Linked DNA regions of Stegostoma tigrinum. The protein of the gene in region 2 purifies or fractionates together with the protein of the main gene of each other region. This does not show direct contact. Links are inferred from orthologs where the notes say so. Each region holds a gene or a part of one and is shown on either strand. Other genes may lie near its edges.

Evidence for each region.
Region 1: the proteins of histone deacetylase complex subunit SAP130-like (region 2) and suds3 purify together in Homo sapiens (affinity purification with western blotting; 3 studies listed by BioGRID, with this or other methods). This does not show direct contact. The link is inferred for Stegostoma tigrinum from reciprocal best matches to the Homo sapiens genes SAP130 and SUDS3.

The regions. Positions count from the first base shown.
Region 1 is NC_081379.1:35,357,075-35,364,614, forward strand, and holds the start of suds3 (sin3 histone deacetylase corepressor complex component SDS3), read left to right. Parts: upstream 1-4,535; 5' UTR 4,536-4,588; coding exon 4,589-4,700; intron 4,701-4,779; exon of another isoform or gene 4,780-4,798; intron 4,799-7,104; exon of another isoform or gene 7,105-7,119; coding exon of another isoform or gene 7,120-7,138; intron 7,139-7,540.
Region 2 is NC_081367.1:5,811,725-5,819,571, reverse strand, and holds the start of histone deacetylase complex subunit SAP130-like, read right to left. Parts: upstream 3,042-7,847; 5' UTR 2,860-3,041; coding exon 2,821-2,859; intron 1-2,820. UniProt on the Homo sapiens protein: Acts as a transcriptional repressor. May function in the assembly and/or enzymatic activity of the mSin3A corepressor complex or in mediating interactions between the complex and other regulatory complexes.

The DNA of each region.
Region 1 (7,540 bases), on a different chromosome or scaffold from region 2:
GTGGAAAATTTGACTACTAAAATTGAATTGTCAAATTATATAAATAAAGCAGCACTGAATTCAGATAAATTCTACTCAGATTGTGACAACAGGAAGTTAGTCTTGTGAACAGGATGTGCAGACTGTTGCTCAATGTTTCTGTCTGGCAATGTCAACTACACTTTCAACTGTAAAGGCAAGGTATATTTAAAAAAAAAATCAAAGTTATTTGACCCAAATTTGCTGACTTTGAAAGTTTTACATATTCCCAAGGCCAGGAGCCAGCAGTTTGATTATTGTAGTTAAACTGATAAAGATAACATTGGGTTCCTGCATGCAATCATTAGATAATAAGACAATAGCTCTCTTTAAGAGGTTGCATGAAAAATAATTTGATGGAATCAAATGGATTCAAGTGTAATAGATTGTTCACTATTTCATTTGATTATACAATAAATGTGCTGCAGTGCTCACTTGTTGCAGAAGGCCTGAAACATAAAGGGATAAATGCATATGCACTGTTCATGGCCATATGATTGAAGACAAGACCTTCAATGATAGGTAAGCTTTTGGAGCAAGACTTAGTGACCAACAAGGATTTTCAAGCATTCTCTAATTTATTCAATAATGGAATCAATCTTTGCTAAAAGATATTGTGAAGTTTCATAGGCAATTAATGTATATTTGAGCAGAATGTTGGACATTGCTCCTTGAAGGCAGAACTAAATGTCATTCAACAGTTGAAACAAAGAATTTTTATTATAGTGCAACTTTTACAATCAGCAGGATTCCCAAAGTGTTTTACAGCTAAAGTGCTTTTGAATCGTAGTCACTCTTGTACTGTAGGAACTACTAGAGCCATTTTTTACATTGTGACTTTGAAGAAGTCATATATGAATTATCTTGAGCCAAGTGAAAGATAAAACACCATGATAAACTGGGAAACAGGGAATTCACCCCCAAACTATCTAAAATGTTTCATTTGAAACTAAGTACTTGAAAAATAACTTTACAAAATTCAGAAAGCCGTTAGCAGACTACAAGAGATAACAAGGTGTACAGCTGAATGAACACAGCAGGCAAAGCAGCATCAGAGGAGCAGGAAGGCTGACGTTTCGGGCCTAGACCCTTCTTCAGAAATTGGGGAGGGAAAGGGGGTTCTGAAATAAATAGGGAGGGAGGGGGAGATTGAAGATGGATAGAGGAGAAGATAGGTGGAGAGGAGACAGACCAGTCGAAGAGGCAGGGATGGAGCCAGTAAAGGTGAGTGTAGGTGGGGAGGGAGGAAATAGGTCAGTCCAGGGAGCACGGACAGGTCAAGGGGGCGAGATGAGGTTAGTAGGTAGGAGATAGAGGTGGGGCTTGAGGTGGGATGAGGGGATAGGTGGGAGAAAGGACAGGTTAGGGAGGTGGGGACGAGCTGGGCTGGTTTAAGGATGCGGTGAGGGGCGGGGAGATTCCACATTGATACTATTAGGCTGCAGGGTTCCCAAACGCAATATGAGTTGCTGTTCCTGCAACCTTGGGGTAGCATCATTGTGGCACTGCAGGAGGCCCAGGATGGGCATGTCATCTGCGGAATGGGAGGGGAAATTGAAATGGTTCGCGACTGGGAGGTGCAGCTGTTTAGTGTGAACCAAGTGTAGGTGTTCTGCAAAGCAGTCCCCAAGCCTCCACTTGGTTTCCCTGATGTAGAAGAGACCACAACAGGAACAGTGGATGCAGTATACCATATTAGCAGATGTACAGGTGGACATCTGCTTGAAGTGGAAAGTCTTCTTGGGGCCTGGTATGGGGGTGAGATGTAGGGGCAGGTGTAGCACTTCTTACGGTTGCAGGGGAAAGTGCCAGGTGTGGTGGGGCTGGAAGGGAGTGTGGAGCGGACAAGGGAGTCACGGAGAGAGTGGTCCCTCCGGAAAGCAGATAAGGGTGGGGAGGGAAAAATGTCCTGGGTGGTGGGGTTGCATTGCAGATGGTGGAAGTGTCGGAGGATGATGCGTGGGATCCAGAAGTTGGTGGGGTGGTACGTGAGGACGAGGGGGATTCTGTTTTGGTTGTTATTGCAGGGAGGGGGTGTGAGGGATGAGTTGCAGGAAATGCGGGAGACATGGCCGAGTGCGTTCTTGACCACTAAGTAGGGGAAGTTGTGGTCCTTGACAAATGAGGACATCTGAGATGTACAGGAGTGGAATGCCTCATCCTGGGAGCAAATGCGATGGAGACGAAGGAATTGGGAATAGGGGATGGCATTTTTGCCGGAAGGTGGGTTGGATGAGATGTATTCGAGGTAGCTGTGGGAGTCGGTGGGCTTGAAATGGATATAGGTTTCTAGGTAGTTGCCAGAGATGGAGACAGAGAGGTCCAGGAAGGAGAGAGAGGTATTAGAGATGGTCCAGGTAAACTTAAGGTTGGGGTGGAAGGTGTTGGTGAATCGGATAAACTGTTCCAGCTCCTCGTGGGAGCACGAGGCGGCGCCGATACAGTCATCAATGTAATGGAGGAAGGCGTGGGGTTTAGGGCCAGTGTATGTATGGAAGAGGATCTACATAACCTACAAAGAGGCAGGCATAGCTTGGGCCCATGTGGGGTACCCATGGCCACCCTTTTGTCTGTAGGAAGTGGGAGAAATTGAAAGACAAGTTGTTGAGGGTGAGGACAAGTTCGGCTAAGCAGATGAAGGTGTCTGTGTATGGGAACTGGTGGGGCCTGTGGGACAGGAAGAAGCGGAGGGCCTTTAGGCCATCTGTATGGGGAATGCAGCTGTATAGGGACTGGACATCCATGGTAAAGATGTGTTGGGGACCAGGGAATTGGAAGTTCTGGAGGAGGTGGAGGGTGTGGGTGGTGTCACGGACGTAGGTAGGGAGTTCCTGGACCAAGGGAGAGAAAATGGAGTCCAGATAGGTGGAGATAAGTGCGGTGGAGCAGAAGCAGGCAGAGACAATGAGCCGACCAGGGTTGTCAGGTTTGTGGATTTTGGGAAGGAGATAGAAGCGGTCAGTGCTCGGGGAACTGCTTTGCAGAAAACCTACGCTCAGTTTACTCTAAACAACTGCACCTCCCAGTCGCAAACCATTTCAACTCCCCCTTCCATTCCACAGTCGACATGTCCATCCTGGACCCCCTGCAATGCCACAGCAATGCTACCGAAGGAGCAGGAACAGCATCTCATATTCCACTTGGGAACCCTGCAGCTCAATTATATCAATGTGGACTTCACAAGCTTCAAAATCTCCCCTCCCCTGACCGTATCCCAAAACCAGTCCAGCTCGTCCCTGCCTCCCCAACCCTGTCTTTCCTCCTACATATCCCCTCCTCCCACCTCCAGCCCCACCTCTATCTCCTACCTGCTAACCTCATCCCGTCCCCTTGACCAGTCCGTCCTTCCTGGTCTGACCTATCTCCTCCCTACCTCCCCACTTACACTCACCTTTCCTATCTCCATCCCCACCTCTGACCAGTCTGCCTCCTCTCCACCTATCTTCTCCTCTATCCATCTTCTGTCCACCTTCCCCTCTCTCCCTACTTACTTCAGAACCCCCTTCCCCTCCATCATTTCTGAAGAAGGGTCTAGGCGGGAAACGTCAGCTTTCCTGCTCCTCTGATGCTGCTTGGCCTGCTGTGTTCATTCAACTCTACACCTTATTATCTCAGATTCTCCAGCATCTGCAGTTCCTACTATCTCAGCAGACCACAAGCTCTGAGAACAGATAAACAAAGTTTCGGAACAATGGTTAAGATTGACAAATTTTTCGTGAGAACATCCAATATGCTCGCTACATGTCTGAAATTTTATTTATCTTTAAAAATGTCACATCGCAAACAGTTAGTTCAGTTTCCTTTAGAAGTCTTATAGCACGTCAACAGAGCAGTTAAACCTTTGTAAGATAACAAAGTGTGGGGCTGGATGAACACAGCAGGCCGAGCAGCATCTTAGGAGCACAAAAGCTGACCTTTCGGGTTAAACCTTTGTACTGGTTGTGCTTATTCATAGATGACGGGTTCCTTGCCATGCCCTGCCCACATTTAATACATTTCAGCTACTGAACAGAAAGTGTAGTCCTTCATGGACTAAGGCTAATTATCTTGCATAGCAATCAAGTCAAGCAAAACGATCTGAACAGATTATGATGTTGATGTTCAATATAATATTAATATTTAGGGCTGATCATTTTCAGGCACAACATTTAGCTGCATCAATTGGAGATGGTCACAAATTTTGCAGATAATCCAGATTATGCAAGCATGAATGCATCAGGTGCAGCACTGGCCAGCAGCCACAATTGACAGTGGTGGTCAGAAGCAGCCATGATTGACAGCTCTGTCCGGGCTGCACTTCTTCCAACCCAACATGGTTATGGCCCCTTCCCCCACCCCAAACCCCGGCTTAGGTGTTCGCCTCACTGCCTGACAGCCGGTGCTCACCTTGGGCGGCGGGGGCTCCCGTTTATTACCGGGCTGTGAGTGGCTGCGGCAGTGTTGTTGCGAGAGCGTTGTTGGTGTTTGTCTGCGGTGTCCGGCGAGTTTGTCGTGCGAGGCCCCGGCAGGCAGGCGGTGGGCGCCCTTGGCTGCGGTTGTTGGGGGAGGGGAGGGCGGCCTGGCGGGGAAGATGTCCGCCACTCTCCTCTCGCCCATCGTTGATTATTACAACGATGAGGAGGAGCTGGACAGCGTGGACGACGAGGACGACCGCAGCATCCGGGGCCGCGATTCGGATGAAGGTGAGTGCAGATGGAACCGGGGTGTATGTGTGATAAGAGGCGGGCGGTTGTCGCCGCCTGACGGTGGGCCTCATGTACAGAGGCTGGAACCGGGAGAGGTGAGGCTACTAACTTGGAGCCGGTATCAAGCAAACATGTAGGCGCTGCTTATAAAATGGATGACTTGTTTACAGTTCTAAGCGAGGGAACCGGACCCGAAATGTTAACTCTGATTTCTCTCCACAGATACTGCCAGACCTGCTGAGTTTTTCCAGCAATCTCTATTTTTTTTGTTTCTGACTTGTTTACAGTCTTCTTTCGAGGATTAAAAAAAAGAAAAAAGGTGGAAAGAGAGCCAGAGGCAAACTTTCAGAATTCCTGTTGCCACACTCCTTACCCTTTCATGAAATGTTGTCAAGCACCACTCGCAGAACATTTTCCCCCATAAGTCCTCGCTCAGGAGTTTGGTCAGTTCAAGGATGTGGGACATTTTCATAGAATCTCGACAGCGTGGAAACAGGCCCTTCAGCCTAACCAGTCCACACCGAACCTCCAAGCATTCCCACCTAATCTATGCATCCCTGAACACTGAGCAATTTAGCCTGGTCAATCCATTTAGCATACACATCTTTGTACAGTGGGAGGAAACCCACGCAGACACTGGGAGAATGTGCAAACTGCACACAGACAGTCGCCCAAGGGTGGATTCGAACCTGGGTCCCTGGTGTTGTGAGGCAGCAGTGCTAACCACTGAGCCACCATGAAAAACTGTTGTTGAGATAGTGAAAATCCCTGGGTGTTTTTAGTTTTGCCATCCCTCTTCCCACTCCCAACCAACATTTAGAACAGAATTACAATTCAGCACTTGTTATCCTCCATGACCTTGTGCAGGTGAAGAAGGTGTTTCATGTGCTTCCTTCATTGCTCAGAACATTGACATCATGTTGTGGACATTGTTGATGTCACTTTTTCAATACTGTGTACAATTCTGCTCACCCTTCTGAAGGAGGGATGTTGATAAACTTTGAGAGCACACAGAAAAGATTTACAAGGATGTTGCCGTGACTGGAGGGTATGAGTTACAGGGAGAGGCTGAATAGGCTGGGGCCTTTTACCCTGGAGCATGGGAGGTTGAGGTTTTATAGAGGTTTATGAAGTCCAGACGGGCATGGATAGGCTGAATAGCCAAGATCTTTATTTCCTAGGATGGGAAAATCCAAAACTAGAGTACATCGGTTTAAGCTGAAGGGGGAAAGATTTGTGGACAAGTTGGACTGGAGGGTCTGTTTCAATGCTTTGTAATGTCATGACACAACATTGAGGGAATTATAATGTGGCTCAAGTCACTTGATGTATATACTCTAGCATTGTGTAGCAGGATGTACTGCGAGTAATCAAGATTGTTTTGGAATCCTGGCTGAATTTCTTTCACTTTGACACTGATTTGCATTCACAGATCACATTTCTAGTGTCTTTTGGAAATATTCAAAATCATTTCATACACAGGGAATGATTTCAAAATTGCAGTAACTGCTCCATTGGCACATGTGACCAGTGTGCTGACAACATGATCTCACAAACTAATTGTATGAATGGTGTTTGTTTGATTTTGTTGTTGTTTGTCAAGTGGTAATGTTGTGTAAGATTTCCTTTCTTTTTGAGAAATGTTCGTGTCCTTTAATGTCCAGCTAAACAATGGGAAGAAGCGAATATGATCTGCTCTTATAATGAAGGAAGCACTCCAGTTTTGCAGCAGCTTTGTACTTGTATATTAGATGAGATTGTGGGAAGACAGACATAGAGTAGGAAAGGCAAAGAGACTGATGTTTATATAAAACTAAAGGCATTCATGTTCAGAGTAGAGGAAGAGTTCAAAATACCAGCTGCACCAGAGGAACTTGTTATTTTGATGACTCTTGATACTAAAATTGTGCCGTAGGATTAGAACATTGCAAAATCTCTTCATTATTTGAGAAGGGAGTTTTTTTGCTCATTAGCAGAATGTGGCATCAGTGACATGACTTTCTCCAGGGCAACTAGGGATCAGCAATGAGCTGCCTGTTGATTTTCTGCGGTCCTTGAGATGTCTGAACACTCACCAAACTGTTAGGGAGTTCCAGGATTTTGACCTAAGGACTTTGAAGGAACAACAGTATATTAGAAGTCAGGATGGTATAAAAGTTGGAAAGGATCTTGCAGATGGTGATGTATACATGCATCTGCTGCTTTTGTCCATTTTAGATGTTAGAAGATGCTGGTTTGAAAAGTGCTATTGGAGGAATCTTGATGAATTACTGCATGTATTTTGCAGATGGTACACACTGCTGCTATTTTGTGTCTGTTGTGAAAGGCCTGAATGTTGAAGGTGGTGATTTGGGTGCTGATCAAGCGGGCTGTTTTGCCCTGGATGGTGTCGAGCATCTGAAGTGTTGTTGGAGCAATGTCTCTCCGGGCAAGTGGTGAGTATTCATCACTCTCTTTTGACTTGTGCCTTGAAGACAGCAGACCAACATTGGGAAACAGAAAGTGAGTTTTCGTTGCCGAATTCTGACGAGCTCTTGTAGCGACAATATTAAATGGCTGATCAGTGGTAACCCCCAGGATGTTGTTAACGGTATTACCCGCTGAACTTGAGGTGGGAGGTTCTTTTGGAGGTGGCTATTGCCTGCTACTTTTGTGGCATAAATATTATTTGTCAGCCCTGGTCTGGATGTTAGCCACATCTTGCGGCATTTGGACATGCACTGCTTCAGTATATGAGAAGATGTGAACGTTGCTGAACATTATGCAGTCATTAGTAAATACCCCCACTTCTGGCTTTATGATGGATGGCCATTAATGAAATAGCTGGGGTTATTTGA
Region 2 (7,847 bases):
CCCGCCCCCCCCTCACTCCCCGCCCCCGCCCCCCCCTCACTCCCCGCCCCCGCCCCCGCCCCCCCCTCACTCCCCGCCCCCGCCCCCCCCTCACTCCCCGCCCCCGCCCCCCCCTCACTCCCCGCCCCCGCCCCCGCCCCCCCCTCACTCCCCGCCCCCGCCCCCGCCCCCCCCTCACTCCCCGCCCCCCCTCACTCCCCGCCCCCGCCCCCCCCTCACTCCCCGCCCCCGCCCCCGCCCCCCTCACTCCCCGCCCCCGCCCCCGCCCCCCTCACTCACCGCCCCCACCCCCCCTCACTCCCCGCCCCCACCCCCGCCCCCCCTCACTCCCCGCCCCCACCTCACTCCCCGCCCCCACCCCCGCCCCCCCCTCACTCCCCGCCCCCACCTCACTCCCCGCCCCCACCCCCGCCCCCCTCACTCCCCGCCCCCGCCCCCGCCCCCCTCACTCACCGCCCCCACCCCCCCTCACTCCCCGCCCCCACCCCCGCCCCCCTCACTCCCCGCCCCCACCCCCGCCCCCCCCTCACTCCCCGCCCCCACCTCACTCCCCGCCCCCACCCCCGCCCCCCCTCACTCCCCGCCCCCACCTCACTCCCCGCCCCCACCCCCGCCCCCCCTCACTCCCCGCCCCCCCCTCACTCCCCGCCCCCACCCCCGCCCCCTCACTGCCCTCCACCTCACTGCCTGCCCCCGCCCCCCTCACTCCCCGCCCCCCCTCACTCCCCGCCCCCTCACTGCCCCTCACCTCACTGCCCGCCCCCTCACCCCCCCGCCCCCCTCACTCCCCGCCCCCCCTCACTCCCCGCCCCCGCCCCCCCGCTGCCCCCCACCTCACTCCCCGCCCCTGACCCCGCTCACTCCCCGCAGCCCCCCTCACTCCCCGCCCCCTCACTGCCCCCCACCTCACTCCCCGCCCCCCCCCCGCAGCCCCCCTCACTCCCCGCCCCTGACCCCCCTCACTCCCCGCAGCCCCTCTCACTCCCCACCCCCTCACTGCCCCCCACCTCTCTCCCCGCCCCCGCCCCACTCCCCTCCCCCGCCCCCCCTCCCCCTCACTCCCCCTCACTGCCCCCCACCTCTCTCCCCGCCCCCGCCCCACTCCCCTCCCCCGCCCCCCCTCCCCCTCACTCCCCCCCGCCCCCCCATCACTCCCCACCCCCTCACTGCCCCCCACCTCTCTCCCCGCCCCCGCCCCCGCCCCACTCCCCTCCCCCCTCACTGCCCCCCACCTCTCTCCCCGCCCCCCCGCCCCTCACTCCCCACCACCCCGCCCCTCACTCCCCCCCGCCCCCCACTCCCCACCCCCCCGCCCCTCACTCCCCCCCGCCCCCCCACTCCCCTCCCCCCCGCCCCCCACTCCCCTCCCCCCCGCCCCCCACTCCCCCCCGCCCCCCCATCACTCCCCGCCCCCCACTCCCCACCCCCCCGCCCCTCACTCCCCCCCGCCCCCCACTCCCCACCCCCCCGCCCCCCCACTCCCCACCCCCCCGCCCCCCCACTCCCCACCCCCCCGCCCCTCACTCCCCCCCGCCCCCCCATCACTCCCCGCCCCCCCGCCCCCCCCATCACTCCCCGCCCCCCCGCCCCCCCCATCACTCCCCGCCCCCCCGCCCCCCCCATCACTCCCCGCCCCCCCGCCCCCCCCATCACTCCCCGCCCCCCCTCCCCCCCATCACTCCCCGCCCCCCCTCCCCCCCATCACTCCCCGCCCCCCCTCCCCCCCATCACTCCCCGCCCCCCCTCCCCCCCATCACTCCCCGCCCCCCCGCCCCCCCTCCCCGCGCCACCATCACTCCCCGCCCCGCCCCCGCCCCCTAATTCCCCACCCCCCCCACCTCACTCCCCGCCCCACACTCGCCCCGCCCCCGCCCCCGCCCCAGCCCCACTCTCGCCCCGCCCCAGCCCCACACTCACCCCGCCCACCCCGGCCACTCTCGCCCCGCCCCAGCCCCACACTCGCCTCGCCCCGCCCCCCCGGCCACTCTCGCCCCGCCCCGCCCCCCCGGCCACTCTCGCCCCGCCCCAGCCCCACACTCGCCCCGGCCACCCTCGCCCCGCCCCCCCCGGCCACACTCGCCCCCCCCCGCCCCCCCCTCGGCCACACTCGCCCCGCCCCGCCCCCCCCCGGCCACACTCGCCCCGCCCCGCCCCCCCCCGGCCACACTCGCCCCGCCCCGCCCCCCCCCCGGCCACACTCGCCCCGCCCCGCCCCCCCCCCGGCCACACTCGCCCCGCCCCGCCCCCCCCCCCGGCCACACTCGCCCCGCCCCGCCCCCCCCCCCGGCCACACTCGCCCCGCCCCGCCCCCCCCCCGGCCACACTCGCCCCGCCCCGCCCCCCCCCGGCCACACTCGCCCCGCCCCCCCCGGCCACACTCGCCCCGCCCCCCCCCGGCCACACTCGCCCCGCCCCCCCCCCGGCCACACTCGCCCCGCCCCCCCCCGGCCACACTCGCCCCGCCCCCCCCGGCCACACTCGCCCCGCCCCCCCGGCCACACTCGCCCCGCCCCCCCGGCCACTCTCGCCCCGCCCCCCCGGCCACTCTCGCCCCGCCCCCCCCGGCCACTCTCGCCCCGCCCCCCCCGGCCACTCTCGCCCCGCCCCCCCGGCCACTCTCGCCCCGCCCCCCCGGCCACTCTCGCCCCGCCCCCCGCAGCCACTCTCGCCCCGCCTCTCACACCCCCCCATCACACGCCCACCCAATTCCACGCTTCATAAGACTCCACACATCATAAGACCCGCCACCCAACCTTTCCCTCCCTAATCCACCCCCACGTCCCCCTCTCCGTTCCCCACCGTCCACCCCCGTTCCCTTACCCCTACTCGGGCCTCACTTTGTCGTTCCTCCTCTGTCATTAACACAGTCGAGTCTCACTGCGCGGATGAGTGTATCTCTGCCTCCGCCCGGGGCCCGCGGTACCGGCCCGATCCTCACCTCTGGTTATTTTGCTGTCGGTGCTGGGGTTAGACCACGGCTCTGTCCGCCCTCGATCACTGAGCCATCCCCCTGCCTTCACTTCCCGAGGCTCCGCCGCCCCTCAACGGCCTTCCTAACAACTAGACCCCTGATTGGCCAGGCCTCGGGGCCTCCTGTATCTCTATTGGCAAACGCGAAGCGGGGCGCCGAACAACGCCTGCCTCGATTGGGTGGAATCGCCGGGAGCCGACCTTGGAACCCGGCCGCCATGGCAACCGGCGGCAGCGGGCTGCTCCCGCGGAGCCCTCTGGGAGTTGTAGTCCTTTCCGCCTCCTGAGCCAAGTTGGCGGGCGGAGGAAGGCGGCACCCTGTCCTGAGGAGGCGGCACCAATAGGATGGACCCGCTCTGTAGAGTCTGCCTGACGGGCTGTTCCCGGCGCTTGCCGATTTGTTTTCGATTCAAATGTCAGATTGCCAGCTTCTGCAAGTCCTCATTCTTCTGAGTAAAAGGCTGAAGAGAGCGAGCTGCCCCCTCCCCAATGGGGCCTACCTGAGTAGGCCCTCCCCTGCCATTGCTGGGAGCCTGGACAACGACTTTAAAATGGTCAGTGTGGAACCTGCCAGCCCCACTCGTTCACAGTTGGGTGACCCCTGTAGACTGTCCCCCAACCCCCAGAAGTTGTCTCTCGAAGCCAACCTTCAAACACATGAACTATTGACCAAACAGAAATGGCCGGCGATACCAAAGTAGGGCAATTGGACCCAAAGCGTTAACTCTGCTTCTCTCTCTCCAGAGATGCTGAGCAGACCCACCCAGTCTCTGCTTTTCTTTCTGATTTCCAGCACCTTTGTGTTTTTTTCAAATTTGATCACCAAGTGGATGTGAGTTTGCTCGCTGAGCTGGCAGGTTAGTTTTCAGACGTTTTGTCACTTTTTTTATTTGAAAAAATATACTTTATTCATAGAATGTACAAAAAAAAACATATTTATACACCTACCCAGTCATGCAAGCCGCTCCGGGTTACCCAGGGGATACGTACACCAACTAAAGGCGAAAAATAACAAAGCAAAGAAAATACCCTGGCAGTCATCACCCCGCACAGTCCCCGTTGGCCCCCTGACCAGTTGGGGAAGGCGCCAGCTGGGCCCAGTTACCAGATAGGGTTCTTTTTCCTTTTCTGGACGAGGGGTTTCATACCGTGGTCTTTCCCCACCGTGCCTTGGCGGTGGCTGCCCCAAGCTTTAGCGCGTCCCTCAGCACGTAGTCCTGGACCTTGGAGTGCGCCAGTCTGCAACACTTGGTCGGGGTCAGTTCTTTCAGCTGGCAGACCAGCAAGTTGCGGGCAGACCAAAGAGCGTCTTTTGCCGCATTGATGGTCCTCCAGGCGCAGTTGATGTTGGTCTCGGTGTGCATCCTGGGAAACAGCCCGTAGAGCACGGAGTCCCATGTCATGGGGCTGCTCAGGACGAACCTCGACAAATACCACTGCATCCCCCTCCAGACCTCCTGCGGATAGGCACACTCCAGAAGGAGGTGATTGACAGTCTCGTGTCCCCCCCCCCCGGCAGCCAACTCGAGGGCAGCGTGCGTTGGCGCAGAGATTCCGGGCATGCATTAAGGATCTCACTGGCAGAGCCCCTCTCACCGCCAGCCAAGCAATGTCCTTGTGCTTGTTTGAAATTTCTGGCGATGAGGCACTCTGCCAAACGACTTTGGCAGTCTGCGTGGGAAACCACACGACGGGATCCACCCTCTCCTCTTCCCGAAGGGTCTCGAGGATACGACGTGCTGACCACTGCCTTTTGGCCTTGTGGTCAAAGGTGTTGCCCTTCAAAAATTTCTCCACGAAGGACAGGTGGTACGGGACGGTCCAACTACTCGGAGCGTTCCGCAGCAACAAGGCCAGGCCCATCCTTCGCAACACCGGGGACAGGTAGAACCTCAGTAAGTAGTGACACTTGGTGTTTGCGTACTGAGGATCTACGCACAGTTTGATGCAGCCGCACACAAAGGTAGCCATCAGGGCAAGGGTGGCGTTCGGTACGCCCTTTCCCCCATTTTCCAGCTCTTTATACATGGTGTCCCTGTGGACCCGGTCCATCCTCAACCCCACCAAATGAAGTGGAAGATGGCCCGGGTGACCGCAGCGGCGCAGGTCCAGGGAATAGGCCAGGCCTGTGCCACATACAGCAGTACCAAAAGCCCCTCGCACCTGACAACCAGGTTCTTATCCGCGATGGAGAGGGACCGGAGCATCCACCTGCCCAGCTTCTGCTTCAGTTTGGTGATACGCTCCTCCCAAGTCTTAGTGCACGCCCCAGCTCCACCGAACCAAACACCCAGCACCTTCTAGTATGTCCTGACAGTGAAGGGGATGAAGGAGCGATCGTCCCAGTTCCTGAAGAACATGGCCTCGCTCTTACCCCTATTGACTTTGGCACCCGAGGCCAGTTCAAACTGGCCGCAGATGTCCAACAGCCTACTCACCGACCGACGATCGGTGCAGAAGACGGCGACAGCCCTGCCTGACTCCAGATCGACGGGAAAACTGTCCGACTCCCACCCGTTGATCGAGACTGTGCTAACGATGTTGGTGTAGAGCAGCCGGATCCAATTGCGGATGCCTTCCCCGAACCCCAATTTGGAGAGGACGTCCCTCATGTAAGCATGAGAGACCCTGTCGAAGGCCTTCTCCTGGTCCAGGCTGATGAGGCAGGTGTCCACCCGTCTGTCCTGCACGTAGGCGATCGTATCCCTGATGAGCGTGAGGCTCTCAGTGATCCTTTTGCCCGGCACAGCACAGGTTTGGTCAGGGTGAATCACCGACTGCAGGACAGACCTGATCTGGTTGGCTATGACCTTGGCTAGGATTTTGTAGTCCACGTTCAATCGTGAAATGGGACGCCAATTCTTAATTTCTTCCCTCTCCCCCTTCCTCTTGTAAATGTGGGTGATGATGCCCTTCCTCATGGACTTGCATATTTCCCCTGCCCGAAGCGCACTGTCAGACACCCCCAGCAGGTCCTGGCCAACCAGGTCCCACAGAGCGGAATACAGCTCGACCGGTAAGCCGTCGCTCCCGGGAGTCTTATTCCTCTCCAAGGACTTGAGGGCAGCTCGTCCCGGGATATCGGCCGGTCCAGCCACTCCCTTGTGCCGTTGTCTAAGACCTCTGTGTTAGACGACAGGAACAACTAGGAGGCCGTGCTGTCCGTGGGCTTCGCATCGTACAGTCCGGCATAGAAGGATCTGCTGATCCTCGAAATGTCAGGCTGAGACGACGTCACCGAGCCGTCGTCCTCCTTCAGCCGGCTAAGCACAGAGCTCTCTTTGTGCACCTTCTGAAAGAAGAAACGCGAGCACGTCTCGTCCTGCTCCGCGGAGCGGACCCTGGACCAGAAGATTATCCTGGAGGCCTCTGCGACGAAGAGCGAGGCTTGCTGGCCCCTCACCTCGAGGTCCTTCGTGACATCGACCCCCATCAACTGCAGAAGGAGCAGGTTCTGCACCCTTTTCTGGAGTCGCGACAGTTTTCCCCGCCTCACTCTCGCCTTCCGAACACCCTTGAGAACAAAGAACCTCTTGATGTTCTCCTTCACTGTCTCCCACCAGTCGCCCAGAGACTCAAAGAGGGGTTTCACAGTTCTCCAACCAGCGTACTCCCTCATGAGCTCCTCGACATTCTCTGGGGTCAACAGAGTCGTGTTGAGCTTCCACGTCCCCTTGCCAGCCTGCTGGTCGTCTTGTAAGTGACAGTCAGCCAGCAGGAGGCAGTGGTCAGAAGAACACCGGCTCGACGCCAGTGGACCTGACCGAGAACGCCCGTGACACAAACAGGAAGTCTATCCTTGAGCAGATAGACCCGTCTGGCCGCGACCAAGTGTATCTCTGCTGCCCTCCGTCTGCAGGGGTGCTGAAGACGTCGAGCAGCTTGGCGCCCTTCACCGTGCCCATCAGGAATCTGGACGTGACGTCCAGTTGACTTGGTGTCCCCACGCCGGATCTTCCATCTGCATGATGCAGTTGAAGTCTCCGCCTAGGATGACCGGTCTGGATGTAGCCAGCAGGGGTGGAAGCCGCTGCAGGACGGCCAACCGCTCACTCCGTACCGCTGGGGCGTACACGTTGATCAGCCTCAGGGGAGCGTTCATGTGGGTGACATCAACCACTAGGAGGCGCCCCCACACCACCACCTGAACTTGAGAGATGGTGAAGTTGCGCCCCCGCAGCAGAATATCCAGGCCCGAGGAGCGACAGTTGTTACCACCTGATCAGATCGAAGGCCCACAGGTCCAGACGCTCAACCATTTCCCGTACCTGCTGAGGTGCGGTATCCTGCACTCCTGCAGAAACAGGAGGTCCACCTTCACGGTGGTCAGGTAGGCCAACGTAGACACACATCTCGCGGTTGACTTGACGCTGCGCACATTACTCTCACAATTTGTACCCCCATTGTGGGCAGTGACCGCAGTACCCTCCCCAAGCCCAAGGTCTAGCCCCTCCATCTGTCCCTTCATGCCCATTGCCCGGGCTAACTGCTGGATGCTCTCCGGGCTCAGGAAGCCGTCCATGCAGCCTTTCGGGTGGCATCCCCCCGTCGGGGGTACGGAGGCAGGAGAGTCCGGTTTTGGGTCCGGCTGGGGACACGTTTCCTGCTTCCCGCCTGAAGGTTCCGGGGGGCCCTCCAGGGCCCCAGCGGCGTGTGGCTGGGTGTTGGAGGGAGCCTCAGGATGCCTCCCGTCACCTGGAAGCGGGGTGCTGCTTTCCTTCTCCCTCGAGATCTTTAGCTTCTGCTTTGGGCAGGCCTCGTCTGAACCTCCCTCATCAGAGGAGCTCTTATAGCCCCCCTGTAGCTGCCTCTACCCGCTTGATGGTTGCGGTGCCTGGGCCCGCCGGCGCACCTTCCTCCTCGCTTTCCAGACCGTC